Oryzias latipes: one gene and its partners. The protein of the gene in region 4 purifies or fractionates together with the protein of the main gene of each other region. This does not show direct contact. Links are inferred from orthologs where the notes say so. Each region holds a gene or a part of one and is shown on either strand. Other genes may lie near its edges.

Region 1 (3,500 bases), on a different chromosome or scaffold from region 4:
ATCTGTGCAATGAGTTAGAGGGTTTTTAGGGTTTATTTTAGGAAAATATTGACCTAAGTCTTTCGTTAATCTCTTTAAAAAACAAAAATAAAACATAGCTTTTTTTTCCTTAAACTATGTTGCTGTAAAGAAAAAGAGGTCAAGGTGTGTTGTGATGTTGCATTGTTGAAATTTGAAATATTTATTCTTCTTCATTAAAGTCCAACTCCAATCATCTTTTGATCTATTGTAACGCGTTCCCAGTGTTCTTCTAGTTATCATTATGCCGTTTTTTAACCTAAAAAACAAATCAAAACCTTTGTTGTTGTTTTTTTAGGACATAGTTTATGCAGAGAAGCAGTAGTTTATTAGAAATTTACCTGTGAGTTGTGGTTGAGACCTTTGGCAGAACAACCCCGCCCCCTTCCCCTCGTTGTTTCTCATATGGAAATGCACATAAAGTTACTCCACTTTTCCAGTTATTTTGTGCATCAGATAGAATGGAGATTTTTATACATTCAGATAGAGAGTTTGTCCACTTTGTCAGAAAGTTTTGAGCTGCTGTGGACGTTTTCATGCCACCAAATGCCTTTTAGCGTTTGAAACGAAAAAGGCTCTGAGTTTAATTCAGGTTTGCTTTTCTGAACCAGTTGAAAAACGGAAACTCAGTCATCACATGAGGACTTCTTTAGGGACTTTCAGGGGAAATGGCTGTGGAAACACTGAGTTTTTGTCATTTTTCTGAAAGCAGAAAAACTGAAAATGTGGAAAAATTGAAAGCACAAAAGACAATATCGCTGCAACTAATCTGAGTCACAGCAGCTGCGCTTTTATTTTTCCAACTGTCAGCATTAATCTAAATGAAGGCCTCACCTCGCTCCTCACGTGACGCCTCATTTAGGAACATGTATGCCACACGTCATCCTGTCTGCAATGCAGGAATAACGCCGCAGTGGCAGAATGTGGAGCATGTCCCCTCCCAGATAAGACAAGGGTTATATGTCCGGGAGCATCTCAGTCAGAGGGGCTTCATCGCTTGATGTGACCCCTTCCTCTTGGAGGCGTGTTCATGGATGACTGCGATGAAGTACTATGCAGTGAGAGCGGGTGGCTCAGTGGTGCAACTGCAGCTATGCATGGGGGGGGGGTTATGACCACTGGTATTCCTGAATTATGCAGAAGGTATGCCCCAGAGCTTATGCACTGCTGGTATGGAATTTGACTCCCAGGCCTGCAGGTAATAATAGTCTCCTAGGTTACAGTTTTGACATTTTGTGACCACTGGGAACATATTTGGAGTTCCAGGTCCTTCACCTTATGTTACAGAAGAAGGTTGGATCCCTTTTTATGTTCTTCCCCATTCTCACATTCAAGATGGAGACTTTGATGGAGAGTGCATAGCTGAAATCTTCATATTCTAACTCTGTGTTTTCCCTTACAGGCGCAGATGGGCACCGTCATGGTTTGGCTCCATAGTGCCCTCATGAGCAGCTCCACTTCCTGGAATAAGTTGGAACCCGAGCCTTGAAGTCACACCATGGAATGCTTGTAGTATTGTGCGTCCCTTTCGTCCACCCCACCAGCAACAGCAGGAATCAGAGACACCCAGTGTGACACAAACGACTGAGGGCCACAGGAACTGCTCCCAGAGGCTCTTTATCTATTTAGGTCAGATAGCTTGAGACGTTTTCGGGAGGGTGCAGGGGAGCTTGCTCTAGTTTCTGACTGACTGTGTGGGCTTTCCTTCTGAGAGTTAGTGCCCTGGCACAGGCTCTCAGACCATGAGACCCAAGACTTTCCCAGCAGCCCCGTATGTGGGCAACACGCGACAGAGGCTCCAGGAGATTAAGGAAGGCCTGAAGCAGCCGGCCAAGCTGGTGAGCCAAGCTCTGCATGGAGGAAGCTCCCGCTCTGAGAGAGGCTCCGACTCGAAAAGCGGGAAGGACACAACCAGTCGACAGCAGCAGCTCCGGCCGCCTCAGAAGTTCAACAACTACCAGAATGCACTCAGAGAAATCCGCAAGTCCCTCATGCCCTTCGCCAACGAGTCTGGAGAGGCCGGAGAGGTGAACCGACAGATGCTGCACGAGCTGGTCAACGCAGGATGTGATGAGGTGAAGATGAGTAGATTTGATCCTTGACCATTTAAGGGCTGATGTATGGACTCATTCAAGTAGTTTCAGCTTCTTCTTTAAGGTTATGCCTTAGTCACAACTGCCCTTACAGGTAGATAAGGGCTGTCTGCAGGGGAAAAATGGACACACCTGTATGGGGTTAACCCAAACAGCGAATGTTTGTGCACAGTTTTTCCTGCTGGTATGCTGCAGGCAACATGTCCTTTCAAACAACTGAACAACACTTAAGGGTTAGGTAGGTGAGACACAGCTGTGTGGTTTATACCACACACCTTTTGCTCATTTTTACAGGTTAATGCTGGTTTTAAGTCCCAGTCTGATCATCTTAAGCTCTATTTTCAGAGCGTTCCCAGTGGTCTTTTAATTATGATTATGCTGTTTTTAGCCGAAATCATAAACCTGTCGTTTACTAGGACATAGTTTCTGCAGAGCGGCAGGAATTTATTAGAATTTCACTTCGGAGTTGTGGGCGGGAACTGATGGCTGATGGCATGGAAGTAACTCTCTCCAATTATCCATTTGATCACACTCTCTCCTGCTAGCTTACAGCCCTCACAAGCCCAAACTAACACTAGCGGTGGAACAAAAATGGTGAACAATGTTAGAGCCAGTCGTACAGTTTTGATCCAGATTCCAGCTCAGCCGAGCAAAACAAAGACGTACATGGATCTATTTGTCTGTAAATGGATCCATCAGAAACAGTTTTTTTCAAATGGCAGGATTTGAATAAAGAAATAGTCAGAAATGTAGTCTTAATCTTAATTTTTTGCTATATACGTCTTTTATCATCAAAAAAGGCTACAAGAACATGTTATTAAAAACACCCAAAACAATTTTTTGTGTTTTTTTGAGCTCTTCAATGCAATTCAGTACAAGTGTGTGTGTCGCTCCCCCCCCAGTGAATGGTGAGCTGGTTGCATAACTGAGTGGTGTTGAAATCTTGAAATATCAGGTGGATTTCTCAACTGGCTTGCTTGGCATTTTTTCCTGTTATCCCCCTTGCAGAGTGGTGAATGTTTCCATGGGTCGCTTTCACGTAAAACTAAACGTTATTTGGATGTTGCTTCACCTTCAGCTTGGAGAATTAAATCAATTCCATGTGCAAACGTTTAGATTTGATTCCCTCCGATGCGTCTTTAGTTGGAAAAATCTACTTGCTCTGATTTTTGGGTCACATTTTTAAAAGTTCCTGCTGAATAGCCTTCTGTGTGTTTTCTTCCCATTATCTTCTTATTGGAAGCTGTTGAAATGTGCTTTGAAGAGAAGGCAGTGGGGCTCGCTTGAGGGGGCGATTAAAGCAACTGATTCAATCATGGACTGTGTTCACAAAATGCAGTTTGTCCAGTCAGGACCTGGTGTGTGTGGTTGAAAACCCCGTGACGAAGC
Region 2 (4,119 bases), on a different chromosome or scaffold from region 4:
CTTTCAGCCCCAACCTAAACATATTAGTGCAACAAAAATAGCTAGCAATATTGGAACTATCCAACCATCTTAATAGTTTTGATTCAGATGCCAGCTTGGAGGGGGAAAACAAAGAAGTACACGGATCTATTTGTCTGCAAGTGGATGTATCAGATTGGAGCGGAGCACGGAGCTTGTGGCCGTAACAAATACAATCTTTTTCAAACGGCATTCTTTAAATCTGCTCCTGATTCACCAAGATTTGAATAAAGAAGTACTCAGAAATGCTTTTTTAAGGTTAATTTTTCTTTACATATGTCCTCCATCAAGAAGAAAATGCCACAAAAAAATGTAAAAACTGTTTTGAATATTACCTGAAGATGAGGAAAAACAAACCAAGAGGTGCCCTTCAAGAGTCACTTGAGATAAAGACGTCTGCTGCCAAAAATGTGTCTATGCAAGTGATTAAAAGGTAGTTTCCCCACTCTAGGATCAGTATTGGTCATAGATCAAAAGCAGCAGGCCAGCAGACACTTTCATGGTCTTCAGTGTTATTATTTTCTTGCATATATTGTAGGGATGCAACCATTAACTTCTGAGATCTATCTATCTATCTATCTATCTATCTATCTATCTATCTATCCATCTATCCATCTATCCATCTATCCATCCATCCATCCATATTTTTTTTTCCTAAATGTGTTGAAGCATAAAGCCCTCACCTGTGTCTGCATGTTGGAGGCTGCTCCACCAGCTGATGTGCGAACCTTGGATGTTTTGCTGAGCACCTTCTTCTGCTGCAGCGCCATGCTGTACTTGCAGGCCGCATTGCGATATTCCTTATCGTGAAAAATCGCATCGGCGTGGTAAACCAGCAGTTGGTACTTCTGAGCCGGTGAGAATAGTTCACTGGAGACAAAAACGAACAAGTTTCATTTAAAAATAACTACAAAGCACAATACCTCTATTTTATGGCACTAGCTTCGCATTTAAAGTGTGCAACGTTACGAAAACAGCAGCTGTATAAAAAATTACATTTTGATTACGGGGAGTTCTGGGGGGTATTCCAGAAGCATGTTTAAACTACCCTGACTTTAAGCCTGAACTCTGGCTGAAATCCGCCTGAACTTGCTTACTCTGGGTATGTCGGTTCCAAAAAACCGGATATGAGTTAGCGTAATTACGCTCCACTTGGTAACCCTGGGTTAATGCACGTGCACAGCAAGTACATAAAGACATTTTCAATGGATTGCCGATCTACGGAGTCACCATGGAAACGCGTGGTGAAAAAAAGAGAGCGCTATACGTCAGTGAGACGGAGTCGGAGATTTGAATGACGGCGTATGAAGATTAAAAAAGTAACACGGCTGCATCAGCAAAAGAGAGTTTCTGCTTGGAGAAAAAGAACGGACAAAGTAAACACAAGAGTTTCTATCTCATTTCCATTGTGATGTGTATATATATATATATATATATATATATATATATATATATATATATATATATATATATATATATATATATATATTTATAAAACTTATCCAACTTAAATGAATTAATTCAATTGGTAACAAGAAATTGAGTTAAATATATTTTTTACGTCTATCCAACTCAATATTTTTTTTAACTCAAATTTACATATTTATCTAACTAAATGTCATATCACTCCAATTCAATTAAATGTTTTTTCATCTTAATTTATTGTACTTCTTGAACTCTCATGTGTTTAAGTTTGAGCCTGCAGATATGCTCATTTTTACAACAATAAAATGCATGAATCAAAACAGATTTGCAACATGACACGTAACTGACTTAACAAAAAACAAAAAAGATTTATCTCAACTAAAGCAAATAATTAAGTTAGATCAATGTAACAAATGTTATCTTTCCAACATCCATATGTGGTCTTATCACCCTCTATGGTGGAAAAAGTATTATCTGAGCTTTTTCATCCACTAAATCATCTTCAAATGGACACACCATGCTGCCTTCACCTCTCTGAAAACAAACTAACCTTCAACTAAACCTGTTCCAGACCGGGTTATGTTCAGAGCATGAGTTGCTATGGCAACTTGACATACTGTGAAACAGACCTCCACTGTTGGTACCGAAAACTGAGATAATCCGCTTCATTAGCCTTAAACTTGCCGTGGTAACTAGCATAACCTGCTTTCTGGAATACCCCCCTGGTACATCTTCTTGAATATAAATGTGGCGAAAGAACAAATAGTAACATCTAATCAACTCCGGAAAATGAAAACATTTGATTAATGTAAATAAAGAAAACATCAATACATGTGAACAAAGTGGGGGGATTTGAGTTCAAACATCCCTCAATGACACTTCACCAAACTGTTATTGCCAAAGTCTCCACATGGCTATGTAATGGAGTGAAGGCTAACTGTATGCATCTCATAACACAAGCTAAGCATGTAGAAAGAAGCTGTGTAGGCTGCGCATTCAAACAATAGCGTAAAGACTACGACAATATGTTTTTTTCATATATATAAAACTGTCGCGACAACGGAGGAAAACCACAAAACACTTGCGTAGAGACTCATTCGGGAAATAGACGGGTCCCAGTCAAGCCATACTTACGGATTGTTATTGCTCATCGTCAGCAGCAAACTGCTCACAATGCGAACATTGGAGTGAAGGCCGGCCGAAGCCATGTCCCGAACGTGATCAATAACATTCATTTTACCGAAAAAATGCAGGCTCTTCTACAGGTTTCGGTGTGAAGTTAGAACTTTTAGCTAAAAAATATCTAGCCTCTGATGTATTAAATATGGCGCTCAGCAGCCTTCCTTCCGTGCACTGCTGCATTTGTAGGTCTGTACAAATTAGTTTTAGCAGACGATTCACGAATGACAGGTTAAGAGCGCAATCAATTCACCCTCATACAATCTTAGTATTTTTATTTAAATCGTTTTAGTTTACACATTCATCATGATGAACGTAAATTTAAACATTTGTTACTTTGTTTTTGTTCTTTGTAACAGTCTTCAATGTGAATTTGATATTTCCGATGGTTATGAACGCATCTTCTGCTTTTCACTGTATGTTTGTATTTAGCTCAAAAATCGACTTTCGCGTGAATAATTGAAAATTAAAGGCTTACTTTATAATTGTTTATTTTTTTCAACCATGTATTATTATGTTCGTGTGCCGAACGAGTTCTTCAAACATGTAGATGTCAACAAACATACGGAATTCAAATATCCAAAAAGCCCCAACATAAAATTTCTAAATTGAAAACATTTCAAACAACGAGGTATTCTGTGTATTTTTAATGCAGTCCTTTTGTAAGTCTAATTCATTGGCAGAAAGATATTTTAACAACACGAACGCGTGGTCAGCTTGAAGCACGCATGCGCACTTAAGCTAGCACCTGAATCTTGTGTCAAAACACGGAGCCAAGCGGCGGCAGCAGCAGCAGCATCGCAGGACCTCCTCTCTGTGTGCCAGAAGATATTTGTCTATACAGACAGTTTTTTTCTTAGTTACGTACGCGTACCATGACCGAACAATCAGCATTACTTCTTCGAAAACAATTGGCAGGTAATGTGATCGCATTCTTTGATATTAAAATTACAGGGAGAAAACAGCTAGTTATGTAGCAGCAATAGGCTAATGCTAGCTTTTGTGAAGCTATGTTTACGCTGTAAGATTCTGGTTAACAGGCGCTTTAATGACCGAAATTATCAGGACGTGAGCAATCTACTTGAGTTAGATGCCCATTTGTGTGGCAAAATTATGATTTCAACGTCACGTTGGAATAAAAGATAAACTAAAACCCACGCAGACCAGCAACGCCGACCGTCCTAGCAAGCTAGCAACTTCGGCGTTATTTAGCGGGCAGAACAAAGGAATAATGAATTCAGGGGCTCACAGCCCTTTTGAGTTTAGCTTTACCAATGATACACATGAATACCGTAATACGTTGGGCAACACACAAACATATATTTTCTTAGTAAACGTAATTGAAAATGTGAAACTCATTATTTAGTTATGTAAGATAATATCTAATCACTTTCTCTGGTAGGATGATAGCGGTACCCGTTGGCATTTTTTAAGTATCGAACGAAGCCCACACAGGAAAATAAATGCGCTGCTTTTATATTGACTAATTTTAAGAGT
Region 3 (3,969 bases), on a different chromosome or scaffold from region 4:
TTGACTGTTCTTGTTTAACTGAATAAATAAAAAGAGGCGATGCAGAAGCATGGCAAAGTACCCATTTCGGACAGAACATCCCAGTAAAGAAGTAACAGTTAAAACTGATGAGAAGAACACAGCTACTCCTCATTGATACCAGTGTTTGGTTCCAGGTTCAGAAGCTGCTGTCAATTTGCTATGTTCTGGTGGAATCCTGGGAGTTACCCAGTCGCTCTTTGTCTGGGAGTTCTGCTCCAAGGAACCAAATCTCACCCAAACTGGCTGAACTCAAGACAGGAATTCTTCTTCTGATCAGGGTGAGTACATGCACAAACCTGCCACACATGACTTTTGGCTTTGACGTCAATTGTGCTACTACTTGAACTGTAGGCCAATCAGAATGTGGCTGAGATATATGAAGACACCCTGTCTCTTCCACTGGGGGAGTACATAGACTATTATCATGGACTTGGAGCCGATGGCTCACTGCGGCGGACCTACGAACTGCTAGCTTGTTTCAAGAAGGATATGCATAAGGTGAGAAGGAGGATAGCAAGTGTGATATGATAATGACAATGATGACAAAGAAATGTCTGTTTTTGCAGGTGGAGACCTACCTGACTGTGGCTAAATGTCGACTGTCTCCAGAGACAAACTGTATCCTGTAGTCATGCTGCCCCCCACCATGACAATAGACTCCGCTTTTAAATAATTATGTTAGCATTAGCAGGAATAGGAGGTGTCATAATAAAGTTTGTGTTGCATTCTCAGTGTCTCTTTTTCTGAAAACAACAGGAAGCTTAAAGAAACCATGGAATAAAAATCTGAGTTTCTCGTGTTCTCCATACTCCCACCTGTCTTATTCTACATGACAGGGTGGGCAAAGGGGACCTCATCGTAGGAGCAGCTTCACCAGCTTTCAGCTGCAATGAAGCTGCAGCATTTAAGTTTGGCTTTTATTTTAACATTCATGTGCTTCATAAATGCTCTGATTTGCAGCAAAGAAGCTGTTTAGGAGCGGGACAGAAAACTTTTTACTATCTGTCACAAGTCTTCACTTATCTCTCTGAGACCCGTCAATGTCATTTTTACCCTTTCAACCAACAAAACCCATGGGCTTCAGTTCTTTATGAACGAAAAAGGTTTTGTAAAAAAATGTATATTTGCTAATAGAAAAAAAGAATTAAGAAAAAAATTACAAAAAATGTTCCACCAGGGTGTCCATCTTCTGCCTATAGAACTTTTCAGTGTACAGGAGATTGAGGTTCATTTACAAACAGCTGCTTGCTGAAAGCATGCTTTACAAGATATGAAAGCAATATTTCTCTTTCATTAACATTTTCCGCTTGGACCTACACTAAACAATTTGATCTGAAAGTGAAAAGTTAAGTTTCACAGAAAAAATAATGCAGCTAATCCAAAACTCAAAAAAGGAATATTTGAAACAGTAAATTTTAGTTTTGAATTAAAGAATTAAAAAAAAACAACACCAAATTTATACATTTAAAAAAGTTATGCAAACTTTAAGGTGATTATTAAAAAAGTGTAAAAGAATATTTTTGTAAAAGATAAAAAAATTGAATGTTATTTCGTGACATATTTTAGTATTTAACATTAACGTGTTTTAACTTTTGTTTTGTCGAATGAAAAATCTTTCCTTCAAACAAACAAACACGGTGCAGATTTTGCTCCATAACAGCTGATGACATTTTCCGCTACTGACTTAAAAAAGTGATACCAAGACTTGCCAGCAGTAGGCGTCAAACAGCTATTCTACCTGCTATTGCTGTTGCCGCTAGAGGGCAGTGTGTTCTAGGCCTATGGCTCGGCGTTTTCCGGCAAAACTCGGAAGGTAACGGTCGGACGTTCAAATGTTCGGCCGCATCGGCTCCTCGCAGAGATAGAGCTGAAGAAAGCCGTGAAGAAAGCAGGAGAGAGGTCCCTGGAGCAGAGATACAGAGTCCTAAAGCGGGATGACAGTGCTGCAGGAACCTGTCCAGGTAAGAAAACGCCGTTAGGTCGTTGTCACGAACCGGAATACGAACATTAGCCGTCACCGGCCTCAGCATCTGGCTCGCTCAGGCTCAGCCCGAGCTAAAACAGCATTCTTCCGCCGTCGTAGGCCTCGAAGTTCGCCCGGAGCCTTTTCTCCGCGCCTTCCCGGCATCTGCTCGGGGCTGAGCGGTGTGCTTCTTTTCGGTCTGCGGGCCAAGCTTCGTAGAGGGCCGGTTTATCCGCTCCATGGCGCGTAACTTGGTCAGGACGCCGGTCCCCCGGCTGTCGTTGACACGTAAACGGGCTGGAACGTTTTCTCTCCTGGTAGCTTCCGCAGCAAAGAATCGAGCGGAGAAGACAAAGATTTGTCCCCGCTGTGAGACCGTCACTGGGTCAAGTTTAGTTCAGGTTTGGATAGACTAGAGGTGGTCCTCAGGATTTTGGAACACTTGTCTGGAACGTTAGATCTGCTAGCTAACCGGCTAGCGCCTTAACAACCCGCTTTCGACGGCAGGAATAAGGTTCTGTAGCTTCAGACTGAACCGAACCGTTCTCCAGGTTCGCTGTGGGGTTCCCGCAACAGTTCTGCCTCACGGCACCCGCAACATATCACGCTTAGCGGGGCATGGTTAGCGTCGGCTAACCAGCTAGCTCTAAACTAGCTTTTTAGCTAGCTGTTGGTAAACGGAAATACTGCATGTAACCAGCGCCGACTGACGTCACAGCTCAGGTGTGCCGGTCCCTGATCAGGCAGGAGGGTATGGTAATGTTAGAGCTTTAAAAAAGTATTTGCCTTTAAACGTAGATCAAAGTTCTGATCTAATATTCAATAAATATCTAATATTTAAAAATGATGACGCAACCTGTGCCAAAGCAGAACATCAGCAACTTGTGCCAAAGCAGAACCACAGTAACCTGTGCCAAAGCAGAACGACCGTAACCTGTGCCAAAGCAGAACGACCGTAACCTGTGCCAAAGCAGAACGACCGTAACCTGTGGCAAAGCAGAACGACCGTAACCTGTGCCAAAGCAGAACGACCGTAACCTGTGCCAAAGCAGAACGACAGTAACCTGTGCCAAAGCAGAACGACAGCATCCTGTGCCAAAGCAGAACGACCGTATCCTGTGCCAAAGCAGAACGACCGTATCCTGTGCCAAAGCAGAACGACAGCAACCTGTGCCAAAGCAGAACGACCGTATCCTGTGCCAAAGCAGAACGACAGTAACCTGTGCCAAAGCAGAATGACAGCATCCTGTGCCAAAGCAGAACGACCGTATCCTGTGCCAAAGCAGAACGACAGCAACCTGTGCCAAAGCAGAACGACAGTAACCTGTGCCAAAGCAGAACGACAGTAACCTGTGCCAAAGCAGAACGACAGTAACCTGTGCCAAAGCAGAACGACAGCATCCTGTGCCAAAGCAGAACGACCGTATCCTGTGCCAAAGCAGAACGACCGTATCCTGTGCCAAAGCAGAACGACAGTAACCTGTGCCAAAGCAGAATGACAGCATCCTGTGCCAAAGCAGAACGACCGTATCCTGTGCCAAAGCAGAACGACAGCAACCTGTGCCAAAGCAGAACGACAGTAACCTGTGCCAAAGCAGAACGACAGTAACCTGTGCCAAAGCAGAACGACAGTAACCTGTGCCAAAGCAGAACGACAGCATCCTGTGCCAAAGCAGAACGACCGTATCCTGTGCCAAAGCAGAACGACAGCAACCTGTGCCAAAGCAGAACGACCGTATCCTGTGCCAAAGCAGAACGACAGTAACCTGTGCCAAAGCAGAATGACAGCAACCTGTGCCAAAGCAGAACGACAGTAACCTGTGCCAAAGCAGAACGACAGTAACCTGTGCCAAAGCAGAACGACCGTATCCTGTGCCAAAGCAGAACGACAGTAACCTGTGCCAAAGCAGAATGACAGCAACCTGTGCCAAAGCAGAACGACAGCAACCTGTGCCGACTGTTTTTTTCTTAGCTGCACTCAGATT
Region 4 (3,500 bases):
GCTGTTATAAGCAAATCTGATTTAATTACAGAGTAAATACAGTCTTAATGAAACGTTATAAATTATGATGCTTATTAACCTACAAACCTAACAGAAGAGCCAGACCGTAAACACACACGCAAATTATGAAGAGTATTTATTACTCCAAACCTTCTCTGTCCCTGTCTAACAAAATTAGTTCTTTAACCTAAATGTAATCGGTTTTAGTTTTTACATGAATTTTGTTGATTCGTTTTTTTGATCAAACTGATTTATATTCCAGTTGGATTAATATGAGACTGCGTGGCATGGCTGATTCTTTTTTGTTTGAATTTCTTTTTATTGTTTCAGTCAAGATTTCTAAAGGCAAAAACTGCTTTCATGAAAAGATAAGTGGGATCTAAGAGGAAAAGGAATAAACCTGAGAATCCAGACTTTTATTGAACTTGTTTGCAGCCTGTACATGTTGCTTTGCCATGACCTGTGTTAGGAACCGGTGCTGTGTGCTGAAATAAAGTAAAATAAAATACGCCAAAATAAACTGAGATTTAAACGGAGACGTTTGATATAGGAAGGTGACACCATAAATGTGGATGTGACATGTCCTGGGGCGACGCTGGCCCTCGCCATGATCTACCTCAAGACCAATAACAGGTGAGAAGAGACAATCAAATCTCATACAACATTTATCGCCTTTAAAAAAATATTTTGGTAAAGTTAATAGACCTGTGTGACCTGGTAATTGTACTGTTAATGATCTTTTTGCACACATTCCTTTGCAAATCCAAAACCAAAACATCCAGAGCATTCATCCCTGGTTACCAGTGCATCAACTCGTTAAACCATCACATCTGTTTATTGCTTATGCAAACTTCCTCCCCTCCCTTGATGTGGAAACCAGCATCTTATTTCACAAACAAGAACTTCCTGAACATCTCCAGGGTGGCCCTGCTGTTTTACGGCAGATCTTAGAGTACAAGTGTAAGATTTCATCAAGCATTAGTTAAAGAAGAACAAAATATAATGTTTCCATCCTTTATTAAATTAATTTTAAATTATAAAATAGTTTATAAACTTATAAATGTGCTTTTATAAGCATAATAACTGAGGCACAACTCTAAAAGTGGTGGTACTAACTTAAGTCTTTGCCAAAAATAGACAAATGTTCTTTCATATTTTGTGCAATACATACGTTTTTGTTATCAAATAGGCGTAGGACTCCTATGGTAATGTATGTAGTAGAAAATGCAAACCATACACGTTTGCAGTCCATACATTTATCAATTGACACCATACCTACAAATCATTAAATCTATAGTTATAAGATTTCTTGTACTAACATTTATTTTCTGAAACAAATTATTTGCATTTACAAATGAAGTTATATTATAATTATTTACAGTGTATTAAATCAATCCAATCCATAGCTTTTTCTAAGTATCATGAATCTGAGCTTTGTTCTGTTTATCTCCATGTCTGTGGACATCAGAGCATCGTAACCTCCACCACAAAAACACTCCACAGACTCCTCCACTTCACGATTGTCTACTAGTCAAGAACTTCCTGATTCCTCCAAGATTCATCTAATGCTTTCTGGTTTTTTGGCATAGAAGGTGTTAAAGGAAGATATTAACACATCCTCTGGTTCTGGTTCTATACCACAGGTCGATTGCTGATTGGCTGAAACCTCCAGACACTTGGTTCCTGCTGGACTTCATTAAGCCAGAGTTTCTGCTGCTGAGGGTTGGTGTGCCATCGGCTGTTTGTTTGTGTGGATATGAGGTTTTCTATGTGACAGTGAGGTGCTGCTCGTTTCTTTTTTCCCTTCTCTGAATCAGGTGTATCTTTTTTTTTATGTCTTTCCTTAGACACTTGCTCGATGTATAATCATGTGGGATGAAATCCTTCCTAATACTGAATGGGTCAAGAGTAACATACCCCAGGTGAGATAATACACACCCAGAAGTAGTGATGTAATCATCCGTTTTCCCTGTTAGGGATGTTGCAATCTGATCATGTGGGACCGACTACAGAGTGCTAGCTCCAAAAAACAGTGATTTGAAAAAAAAAAGAAGAAAAATCTGTAACTTCTCAAACAATAAAAGCTAATAAATGGTGACATTGATATGATGAGTTTTCATGACTAGCTCATATTTATGCTACAACAAGGAATTTAAAGAAATTCATCACTCATTTTTAATAGAAGATACTAAAGCTACAGTCACTAAACGTTTTTACATGACTATAAACTATTTCAACTAGTTAATAGTTAACTGTTTTTCTAGTTGATAGTTGCACTATCTTTGCTTGATTGTTCAAGCTACTACGCACAATTTCTCTGTTTAACTTTTAAATCATAAAAGAAGGTGAATAAAACAGAGAAAAACCTGGGTCTGTTTATTAAATCTATTCATTTCTTTTAAACGTGTTACAAAAGGATCCGATTGGTAATTGGTATCACCAAATTCTTAAAATCAGATGAATTAGAATCAAATCAGGGCCAAAAAACCCTGATCTCTAGTATCAATGTCCACTATGGTTTTATTAAATTTTAACTCTTCCTTTGGGATAAACCCCCTGAAGAACTCCTTAATAGTTTAAGATAAATAAGTTCACAAAAGACAATTTTTAATCTCCCATAGTCTATAGAAGTGAAGGTAGGCAGTGAATCGAATCTTATACTTATTTTTTTGGGTAATGGATCTCACCCTCAGGAAGGAAGATCACTAACTTGACACGAATTTTCCTTATTGGAAAAAGTACAGAGGTTTTTCAGTTGGATGTAAAACCTGTTGGTTATAAAACTCTAAAAGTATTTGTTTCAATATTAGATGAATAAATGTTCACTCCATCAACTGTACTGTTGCATATGTTTTTATTTATATTCTGACTGATCAAAAACATCATTCAGCAGTGGAACAACTGCTGAAACTTGTCACCTGTTTTTCTCTTTTGGTTGTAGATAATCAGGGAAAATGTTGACCCTTCAGAGGACATTAATATGGATGCAATGACGTGAGTGTTTTTCTAACATTTTTTATTCGGTAATTTGCCTTCTACTTCACTAAACGTAACATTTTGTTTACATCAGCCAAGCTCAAGACTACATCACTGCTGGAGCCTGCATGGCGTTAGGTTTACGCTTTGCTGGTTCTGCGAATTCTGATGCATTTGATTGCCTTCATGAGTTTGCCAAGACCTTCATGAAGATCATGGCCTTTGCTGGGACAGCTCCTGTTGGCGCTGTGAGTGATTTCCTCTGGATCTTCCTAGTTTGACCTCTCAAATTTCATGACAGATGCTATATAAAAAATGTATCTTGTCGTTGTTTTCCCTGTCTGTCCAAACATTGTTCCGACTCTTCCAGCAGACCAGCTATTACAACCTGCAAACGGGCCTATCAATGATTCTTCTGGCCATGTCCATGATAATGGCTGGAACTGGAGACCTGAAGGTCCTGCAGCTGTGTCGCTTCCTCCACAAGCGCACCGGTGGTGAGATGAACTATGGCTTCCACATGG
Region 5 (4,274 bases), on a different chromosome or scaffold from region 4:
GAACTCGTACCTTCTATAGCAGCAGAATCTAAGCCCAGGGGCTCAAACTTCTGCCTCCACAGAGACATCCCTCTCACCTCACTGAGATGGTACAGCAGAGCCTCGGAGCCACTGCAGGAGGCAGAAGAGAGGAGCATGAGGAGCATGAGGAGGAGCACTGACCTGAGGACAGAAGGGGGAGCGAACCTCTGCAGGTGACTGATCACCAGCTTCTGGATGCTGGAGTAAGAAGACTCGATAGACTGGCCAAGCTTCTTCAGACCCTAAAGGGTGAAGGAACGGAAAGATTTCAGTCTCAAGTCCTCAGAAGGAGGTGGAGTCTGAACTCACCTCTCCTCACCTTTACAGTCAGCTGGTTCATGAGGAGAGCCTGAAGTTCAGGACTGGAAAGGATGAAAAAACAGTTAAAACAATTCCTTACTCACTGCTACCATCCACAGGACGGTCCAGGCAATACAGTTCAACCATGAAGACAACAAAGGAGGTTTGCTTTCCACCTGGACTGTCCCCACAGCAGGAGCTCCAGAAACTCATCCTGAACCTGAGTGCTCGTGTTCTTTTCCTGGGAACACAGAAGACATGACCCTGAGTATGGTGGCCCTGAGGTCCCAATCACATTAACACAAACGCATGTTAAGACCAGAATGACAGTTAACAAAGCAAAACTAAAAAACATCATCTTTTGGAAATCAAAACAAAATTCAGGAGACTGAAATGTAAACAAAAAGATTCAGAAAAAAGGAGTTTCCATAAGTTAATGTTAAAATTAAAAAAGAACTAGAGAAACCAGAAGAGGCAGGTCCTTTGAGGCATTGCTGATTGGATGATGACATTTGAGTTGTGAAGAAGAGGAAACGCAGAAGAAGGTTTCACCTGAACTGTGGCAAACAGCTGATTAAACAATCAGCAAACGTGTGCAGTGGGCGTGGCCAGAAGCTTAAAGAAATCTCCTCTGATGGAAGAGATCGCCATGACAAAGAACTTCCCGCCAAAAAGGTGAACAAACATCATCATCCAATCAGAGACGTCCCCTGATACCCACCTTATTATTATTTGGTCTGCTTTTTTCATTTACCATGATTTTCTGGTGAGAGATTTGTTGATGTGATTTGCACATCAGGGCCACCGTACTAAGCCAATATGCGCTCAAATGTTTGATTCTTCCTCCAGAGAAAGGCATTTCTTTACCAAACAAACCTGAACAAACTTGGTGAGCCGAAGGTCCATCTGCATGAGGATGTCCTCCCACGCCTCACACATACACGTCAGAGAGAGATGCAGGTACTGCAGCAGCGTGGAGATGAAGGTGAACTTCAGCGCCATCCGGGTGACCTCAGGCAGGCAGTCAGACAGCAGGCCTGTGTCCAGCTGACGGGCAAGGAGGACGCATTAGGAACACAAACAGAGCATAGATACTCAGAGAGAACCAGAGTGGATCACCTCACCTGGATGTAGCAGATCTCTGGGTTATTGTCAGCAGACCTGACCTCTGCGATGACAGACAGAGACCTGAGATCACTGGATAGACACAGATTGCGGCACGTTCCAGTCACCTGCACAGCAGGATAAATCCAAGAAAAACAGTTCAATCTCCAGGCATTTCAGGATTACTACCAATTAAATCTGTAATACAAGTAAAACCCCTCTTTGGTCACTTTTAATTGTTTGTTACAATGTCAAGAAAGCTTTCTTACCCCATCCACAGCTGCTATCTTATACATCCCATAAGCATAAAGCTCCACAAAGCCAGAATCTCCTCCAAGAACAAGAACATTCAGTCTGCAAGGAAAAAAAAAAAAAATCACTCTTACAGTCGTGGAACCATTTTCATTCAATCCTCAAAAACTGTCACCTTGTTTTTTTACCTGGCATCTCCCAAGAGATTGAGTATTTCATCTGACTTCTCTTCACTGTGACAGAGGGAAGAACACTCAGGAAAAATTCAAACGCTTCCAAACATTCATCATGAATGGTGTCTCACCTGAAGATCTTTGAAGTTGTGCTGTAGCTGTGGAGGAAAAACAATGACTGCATGGAGATTGCCAGTAGATGAGATTTGAAGCAATGCACGTCTTCATGGCTTTACCTTTTTGGAAGGGTTGGGATTTTTGGGAGAAAAAGTTTGGATTCATCCTCTGAGCTGTAGAAAGAGCTGAGGGAGCTGGAAGGTAGAGAACGATAACTTAATATGATTCCTGTCTGTTTGGTTAAAGCATGGATATCCCTTGAGCCTCTCTTCACCTGCTCTCATCCACGACCTCCATCCAGTGCATGCAGGTGACGGCGCTCTGCACTGGGAACACGTGAAGGATTTCTGCCTTCTCAACCCCACAAAGGACGATCTGCTTTGTGTCTCCGAGACTGAAGGCCAGTGCTGGAGATCAAATGGATGAGCAGAGTATAAAATCCTCACATTCAAGTTGAAATATGTCGAGTCCACCCTTACTTTTGCCATCTGGTCTCCAGGCAAGCGCCGTGATCTCTTTCCCGGTGCGTTCAGTAGGTGGTAAACTCCAAACCCGCTGGAAACTTGCTAAGCGATGCAGCAGCAGCTATGAAAATCAAAACATTCAACTTTGGATAAAAAACCAGCATAAAGAGTAAGAGGGTTTTCAGGAGCTGAAGCTCACCTCTCCAGCCGTGTTGGCCAAAGCGATCAGATCCCTCTTTGGAGACCAGGCCATACACAGAACAGGGTTTGGAAGCTGCTTCTCCCCTACCTGCCGGAAGGCTGGCATGATGCAGCCCGCAGGTGGAGCGGCCCACAGGTGGAGCGGCCCACAGGTGAAAGGAACGCAGGTGGAGCGGCCCGCAGGTGGAGCGGCCCGCAGGTGGAGCGGCCCGCAGGTGGAGCGGCCCACAGGTGAAGTGGATGTAGGTGGAGCGGCCCGCAGGTGGAGCGGCGCCGACAATGACTGGACGATGCTCTTCTGGGACAGTTCCACCTTTTAAAAATCTCAATGGTTGGTATTCTGAATCTGTCCAGCTGACATGACCTGCAGAACATGACTCCATTATTCATTCAGCCTGTTCTTGTTCTTCATTTCCTGTATATTTGATCAGATGGAACATACAGCAGGTGGCTTTTCAGATGAAACACGACACCTCTTAGATTTACATACCTCTGTCATATTAAAAAGCAAATAGCCCAAACCAACAAAACAAGTCAGGAAAATAATAACAATTAATGCAAACAATATAATCAATCCACTAACTGTGTTTTTTTTTTGTATCATTCATTTTTATTTCAAAAATGTTACGTCCATTTTTTAACCGTTTCTACTATAAATCAAACGAAAGAAAGAAAAGATTTTTCAGCCAACATCAATACAGGAAATCATAACCCTTTAATCTAAAACCAAATAATAAAAATAAAGCTTTTAAGTCGATTCTTCGCTGAGAAACTCACTTGTTCAGATGAGATGTGACGCTTCCAGCTGTTAGCCGTTCAGCGGATAAACACGACTCTGTTTGTTTCAGTCCTTTACCGTCTTAGAATGACAACACAGAAATAATCCACATTAAAGATACTCTTTTGACGGTTGATCCAGAGTCTGGCGGTAGATTTTCCTGAAGTCGTTTATGCAGCTACTGAGACGCCGCCATACTTTTCTCTCGACCAATCACTACGCAGCAACGGCAGCCGAGAGGAGACAAAGTTCTTAGAAGACAAAACCGCTCCTTGAAAACTAGCAACAGTTTAATCGATGGAGCCCGATGGTCAGGGTTATGTCATGGAATTCCTTAGCAAATATTAGCCTATTTCAGTTTACTACAAGTATACTTAGTAGTGATGGATGAGGATGAGTGTATTGACATATTACCCAGACTGTGTCGACTCTGTATTGACGGTGTTGTTTCCTCTAGTGACCGCTGACATAATAATCAAATCATTGCGGTAAATAAGTAAGTAAAATAAGATTTAGATGAAAAAAGCAGTTAAAGCCCCACTTAAACAAAATATGTATTTTATATTAATTTTATTTTATGGAATTATAGCATGTTTTGTAGCACATTTCTCCTGAAAAAAATCTCATGTTTCTCATGATAGAGGACATAGAAAAATAACATTAAAACTGCATTTTTGAGTATTTCTTTATTCAACATATGGTGAATTAGGAGCAGACAAAAACTGCCATTTTAAAATTTTGTAGTTATTATAGAGACTACAGACAGCAAGTGACCAGCTCCCAGCTCTGCTCCATTCTGATGCAGACCAACAGATCCATGAACGTCTGTGTTTTCCTGCTCTGAGCTGGAATCTGGATCAGAAC
Region 6 (4,070 bases), on a different chromosome or scaffold from region 4:
GGTCAGAGGTGAGCCGAAGGGCCGCAGCGGAGCGACTACCGTCGCACCACGCCATCACCGACCGGGCACGGCGTCCGTCGGGTCCGGGGTCCAGTCCTCCGGGTCGGTGCCTTCGTCGTCGCTGTCCTGCATCTCCAGCGTCACCGGGTCTCCGCGGGACAGCTCGGAGGCCAGGTCGGTGCAGCCCTCCGCATCTCCGGTCAGACCCGCCACGATCTGCCGCACCGTGTCCTCCCGAGTCCTGAACAGCAAGAGGCAGCGCTGCGGTTTAGACGGTTCAATGAACACATTTCTAACTGAAGCGGGTTTCCTGAAACCGCCTGTCAGACCGCAGACACGCAAACTCACCTGAGGTACTTTCTGATTGGCTGACAGGCAACCTGCAGGATGACCATGGACGGGTCCAGCTCTCTGAGGGCTTTGATGGCTGAGATGTAAACGGTGAGGATGTCAGAGGTGTGAACTCCTGCACACAAGTTGAGGATGAGGATTATTTTTAAGAGAAAAGCATTCAACAGAATCAGGAAACCTTTGGAGGATCCAACAGGACAGTCGGTCCTCCACAGGTTCTGGAGAGTCGTGACAGAACTTTACACCCACTGAGCTACAGGTTTTATTTCCCCTCACTGCTGCTAAGCCGCCGCTCAGGTAGAAACCGGCATCTTGGGTACCGACGACCTGCTGATAACGACCGGCTTCTGTGGTACCGGCCCGCCGCTGACATCTACTCCCTGCTTAGCTACATACAGACCTGCTGCTCGGTTACCAAACCACTCGGTTACCAAACCACTCGGTTACCAAACCACTCGGTTACTTACCCGGGTGCAGCAAACGGCTTTCGAAGGCAGATTTCAGGGAAGTGAGGAGCTGCTGTCGCTGGTTAGTTCTCTCCAGGCAAAACTTGAGATCCTCAATCGCAGCTTTGGATTCTGGGAAATCTGCACGAGATATGGAGCAAAGATGTTAGACAAAAACAAACAAAAAAAAAACTCCGTCGGGTTGGTGAGAGTCACCTCTGATGATGCTGAAGAGCTCCTCGATCCTCATGTTGACGTAGATCCTGCAGAAGAACTGGTGCATGTGGCACCTCCACTGCTTCATGACCGGACTGGCCAAAGATGCTGGTGCCGGACCGTCTCCCGACCCCTCACAGGCAAAGACTTTCCCCAGCCAGCCGAGCACCAGCTCCAACCACTGCAAGGCGGAAAGGTTCAGACGGAGCCGACCAGGGAGCTGCTACAACGGATGCCTCACCTCCTGGAAGTTCAGCAGGAAGGAGCGCTCGTACTCGCCGCGGCAGTGCTGCTCCATCCGCTGCTCGATGAGCTTGTGGAGGATGGAGGTGACGGCCTCTGAGCTGACCCAGTCCAGCAGCTGCAGTTTGGACCTGCAGCCACAAACAGCAGGTCAGACTCTGACAGACCACAGGAGCTGCAAGGAGCTTCGCTCTGGTTCTCACAGGATGTGGCTGAGCTGCTGCAGCTGCTCCAGGGCCTCCAGACACCAGCACTGGTGAAGCGGGACCCCACAGCCCGGACAGGCCCCTCCCTCAGAACCATCCGGAGCCTCTGCCCCATCCTCGGCGTTCCCCTCCTGCTTCATGTAAACAGAGAAGGTCCGGCTGTAGAACTCCAGCACACGCTCCTGCAGGACAGGAGATGGCGAGAAGAGCAGGAGCGCTCTGATGGTCGTGAAGGCCTGCTCCTTGAGCCCTTTGGGTCCCGGCCCGCTCAGACCACAGCGGCCCTCCTGCTGCCACGCCCCCAGCTTCTCCAAACCACCTAAGGAGCAGACGTGTCAGAAATGTCCGACAGCAGTGGACCCCCCGGTGTCTGGGTCTTACTCAGGAAGGGTTCCAGGCGGTCCAGCAGAGTCCTGAAGGCGGTGAGGAGAACCCAGGCCCGGCCCCTCTCCTCCAGCTCGTTCTCCGGCTGCTTCAGTCCACACCAGAACTCTGGAACCACGGAGGACGACAAACGCATCTGCAAGGTCTCCAGCAGCCACACCCCGAGAAGAGGAGCCAGACCCCGACGGCAGAGCAGAGCCAGGCCGTCCACGAGGTTCTGATCCGACACCGAGAAGCCAGGAGACACCTGCAAGAGAACCCAACGCAGAGCCTCAGCATCCGTCCAGAAGCTGCTGTACGTGCTGATGCCAGAGCAGATCCTGGGCTCGGATTGGCTTTTACTTTTAGTTCAAACACAGCAATGAAGAACTTTGAACCAGTTTTTTCTAAACTCAGGTGTGTTTGAAAGGAGGAGCAGATTTAAAAACGCCTTCAAAGCTTCATCTGTGACTGATATACAAATGAAAATATCACGCATATAGATGCAGTCTAATGAGTCTGATAATGATCCACAGATTGTTTTAAATGTGTGAGATTCATCAAAGTGAACTACCACCAGATTTGGAGACGTGAATAACCTCGATAAACTGACGTCTCACTCATGGTTGGACTCCGACACTGAGGTTCGGGGTTCGGGTCCACTCACCAGAGCCGCAGAGACCGAATCCCATGCAGCCGCGACACCCTGGACCGGTTCGGGTCCAGACATTTCCACAGACTCCGAGTCTTCCATCATTTCCTCCATTTTATGGGTTTTTCTCCTCAATTAACAAACCGGGCGGAAGTCCAAACAGGCGCGTGCCGGTTTTAAGAGGTTTAGTTGAAGGTACAAATACACATTATTTCTCCAAAAACACAGTAATATACAAAGAAAAAGATACTATTTATTAACAAAACAAAACCACGTGACCCCTCCTACTGAATGGCGGGTTCAGATCTTCTTTGACTTCTTCTACTGTATTTAGCGCTGAAAGATGGCAGTGCTGCCACCTACAGTTGTTAATGCGCATCGTTCTGTTTTTTCTTCGTTGTTTTAGTTGTTTGCATGATGTACGTGCAAAAAATTTAAAAGTTGTAAAAAAAAGTAGTCAAAAGTATTTAAAAGAAGTCTGTTTTGCATTTTGCATTTTTGTGAACAACTACTGCCCTCGTGTGGACAGAGTGGAAAACTGCAACACGTAATGTTTGTAACAGCAACTAAGAGCTGGAGAAAAATTATTTACCAAATTAAGTTAATCTTTATGTAAAATAATCAACATCGATCAAATTAATTTATTCAAAATTAAATGTCTCAGGTTGTAATAAAAAAGCATATTTATCTTATCTTATCAAAATTGTAACATTTACTAAAGTATTTACGAAATAAATACAATTAAATTAATAACTCAGAAAAAATGATTATCTTGTTGAAAAACTTAAAAAAATCAAATTTTACCCGATCAAAAATGTTTTTACGTGTGAGGATGGGTTATGACATGATATCTGCCTCAGTGGGCAAACAGATACAACAGAACAATGATTTATAATGGAAAAACACACAAAATGTGATCACAGTCAAAATCCTTATCGCCCTCTTGTGGACAAACTGGTGAACTGCAAGACAAGTTACATCCACTATGTATTTTCACGGAAACTATTTATTTTCACGTTTTTGAAAATGTCTCTGCATTTTCTTTACTGAATAAAATATAAGTTTAAATGTTAAAATAAACAATTAATTTCTAAATAAACTGTAATTTTTTTACCGGTAATTTGGTTTAGCAGGAACCAATTACCCTGTTTAAAAAAAAATTCTAATTAAGTTTGCAAACATCTTATCTAAGTTTTCCCTATAGACAGACGGATTAGTGGTTAAACATAATCTGTCTTATTATTAACTGTGTTTGCTTTAATTAACATATCCTTGCTGTTGCACCAACATCAAAACTGTTTTGTTCGTTTAAAGAAAAAACAAAAATTATCTGCCGACAAACAGCATTTACTTCCTTAAACGTTGTACTGAGCTATTTCCAATATGACATTAGGATTTCATATTTTAAATGTAAATGTTGAAAAAAATCTATACTTCTATTTTAACTTAACCTGAAAGAGGAGGCTGTAGTTAACCCCCGGAGCATAAAAATCTAAGTCTCACTTGTTTTAAAATATCAGCATTAATGTGATGTCACACAAACAACATAATCGTTGTATATCAAATTGTTTTTTACCATTTTTCTCACTGTGA

What was found.
Region 1: the proteins of anapc1 (region 4) and lats2 purify together in Homo sapiens (affinity purification with mass spectrometry; 3 studies listed by BioGRID and IntAct, with this or other methods). This does not show direct contact. The link is inferred for Oryzias latipes from reciprocal best matches to the Homo sapiens genes ANAPC1 and LATS2.
Region 2: the proteins of anapc1 (region 4) and anapc7 fractionate together in Homo sapiens (co-fractionation; 6 studies listed by BioGRID and IntAct, with this or other methods). This does not show direct contact. The link is inferred for Oryzias latipes from reciprocal best matches to the Homo sapiens genes ANAPC1 and ANAPC7.
Region 3: the proteins of anapc1 (region 4) and cdc27 purify together in Homo sapiens (affinity purification with mass spectrometry; 16 studies listed by BioGRID and IntAct, with this or other methods). This does not show direct contact. The link is inferred for Oryzias latipes from reciprocal best matches to the Homo sapiens genes ANAPC1 and CDC27.
Region 5: the proteins of anapc1 (region 4) and anapc4 purify together in Homo sapiens (co-purification; 13 studies listed by BioGRID and IntAct, with this or other methods). This does not show direct contact. The link is inferred for Oryzias latipes from reciprocal best matches to the Homo sapiens genes ANAPC1 and ANAPC4.
Region 6: the proteins of anapc1 (region 4) and anapc2 fractionate together in Homo sapiens (co-fractionation; 8 studies listed by BioGRID and IntAct, with this or other methods). This does not show direct contact. The link is inferred for Oryzias latipes from reciprocal best matches to the Homo sapiens genes ANAPC1 and ANAPC2.

The regions. Positions count from the first base shown.
Region 1 is NC_019879.2:11,533,461-11,536,960, reverse strand, and holds part of lats2 (serine/threonine-protein kinase LATS2), read left to right. Parts: intron 1-1,420; 5' UTR 1,421-1,760; coding exon 1,761-2,093; intron 2,094-3,500. UniProt on the Homo sapiens protein: Negative regulator of YAP1 in the Hippo signaling pathway that plays a pivotal role in organ size control and tumor suppression by restricting proliferation and promoting apoptosis.
Region 2 is NC_019867.2:25,467,751-25,471,869, forward strand, and holds the start of anapc7 (anaphase-promoting complex subunit 7), read right to left. Parts: upstream 2,801-4,119; 5' UTR 2,679-2,800; coding exon 2,578-2,678; intron 889-2,577; coding exon 702-888; intron 1-701. Other genes in the region: ubiquitin-conjugating enzyme E2 G1, read left to right, coding at 3,498-3,540. UniProt on the Homo sapiens protein: Component of the anaphase promoting complex/cyclosome (APC/C), a cell cycle-regulated E3 ubiquitin ligase that controls progression through mitosis and the G1 phase of the cell cycle.
Region 3 is NC_019866.2:74,817-78,785, forward strand, and holds the start of cdc27 (cell division cycle protein 27 homolog), read left to right. Parts: upstream 1-1,169; 5' UTR 1,170-1,955; coding exon of another isoform or gene 1,956-1,982; intron 1,983-3,969. Other genes in the region: somatotropin, read left to right, coding at 156-299, 373-519, 588-650. UniProt on the Homo sapiens protein: Component of the anaphase promoting complex/cyclosome (APC/C), a cell cycle-regulated E3 ubiquitin ligase that controls progression through mitosis and the G1 phase of the cell cycle.
Region 4 is NC_019873.2:15,519,425-15,522,924, reverse strand, and holds part of anapc1 (anaphase-promoting complex subunit 1), read left to right. Parts: intron 1-550; coding exon 551-633; intron 634-1,643; coding exon 1,644-1,722; intron 1,723-1,847; coding exon 1,848-1,922; intron 1,923-2,941; coding exon 2,942-2,994; intron 2,995-3,070; coding exon 3,071-3,224; intron 3,225-3,346; coding exon 3,347-3,500. UniProt on the Homo sapiens protein: Component of the anaphase promoting complex/cyclosome (APC/C), a cell cycle-regulated E3 ubiquitin ligase that controls progression through mitosis and the G1 phase of the cell cycle.
Region 5 is NC_019862.2:1,185,730-1,190,003, reverse strand, and holds the start of anapc4 (anaphase-promoting complex subunit 4), read right to left. Parts: upstream 2,801-4,274; 5' UTR 2,739-2,800; coding exon 2,631-2,738; intron 2,553-2,630; coding exon 2,447-2,552; intron 2,375-2,446; coding exon 2,242-2,374; intron 2,162-2,241; coding exon 2,087-2,161; intron 2,009-2,086; coding exon 1,982-2,008; intron 1,911-1,981; coding exon 1,866-1,910; intron 1,780-1,865; coding exon 1,695-1,779; intron 1,554-1,694; coding exon 1,446-1,553; intron 1,369-1,445; coding exon 1,198-1,368; intron 563-1,197; coding exon 498-562; intron 384-497; coding exon 341-383; intron 264-340; coding exon 187-263; intron 112-186; coding exon 11-111; intron 1-10. UniProt on the Homo sapiens protein: Component of the anaphase promoting complex/cyclosome (APC/C), a cell cycle-regulated E3 ubiquitin ligase that controls progression through mitosis and the G1 phase of the cell cycle.
Region 6 is NC_019866.2:2,382,402-2,386,471, forward strand, and holds the start of anapc2 (anaphase-promoting complex subunit 2), read right to left. Parts: upstream 2,801-4,070; 5' UTR 2,592-2,800; coding exon 2,493-2,591; intron 2,094-2,492; coding exon 1,844-2,093; intron 1,782-1,843; coding exon 1,460-1,781; intron 1,388-1,459; coding exon 1,255-1,387; intron 1,195-1,254; coding exon 1,014-1,194; intron 939-1,013; coding exon 819-938; intron 467-818; coding exon 349-466; intron 242-348; coding exon 63-241; intron 1-62. UniProt on the Homo sapiens protein: Together with the RING-H2 protein ANAPC11, constitutes the catalytic component of the anaphase promoting complex/cyclosome (APC/C), a cell cycle-regulated E3 ubiquitin ligase that controls progression through mitosis and the G1 phase of the cell cycle.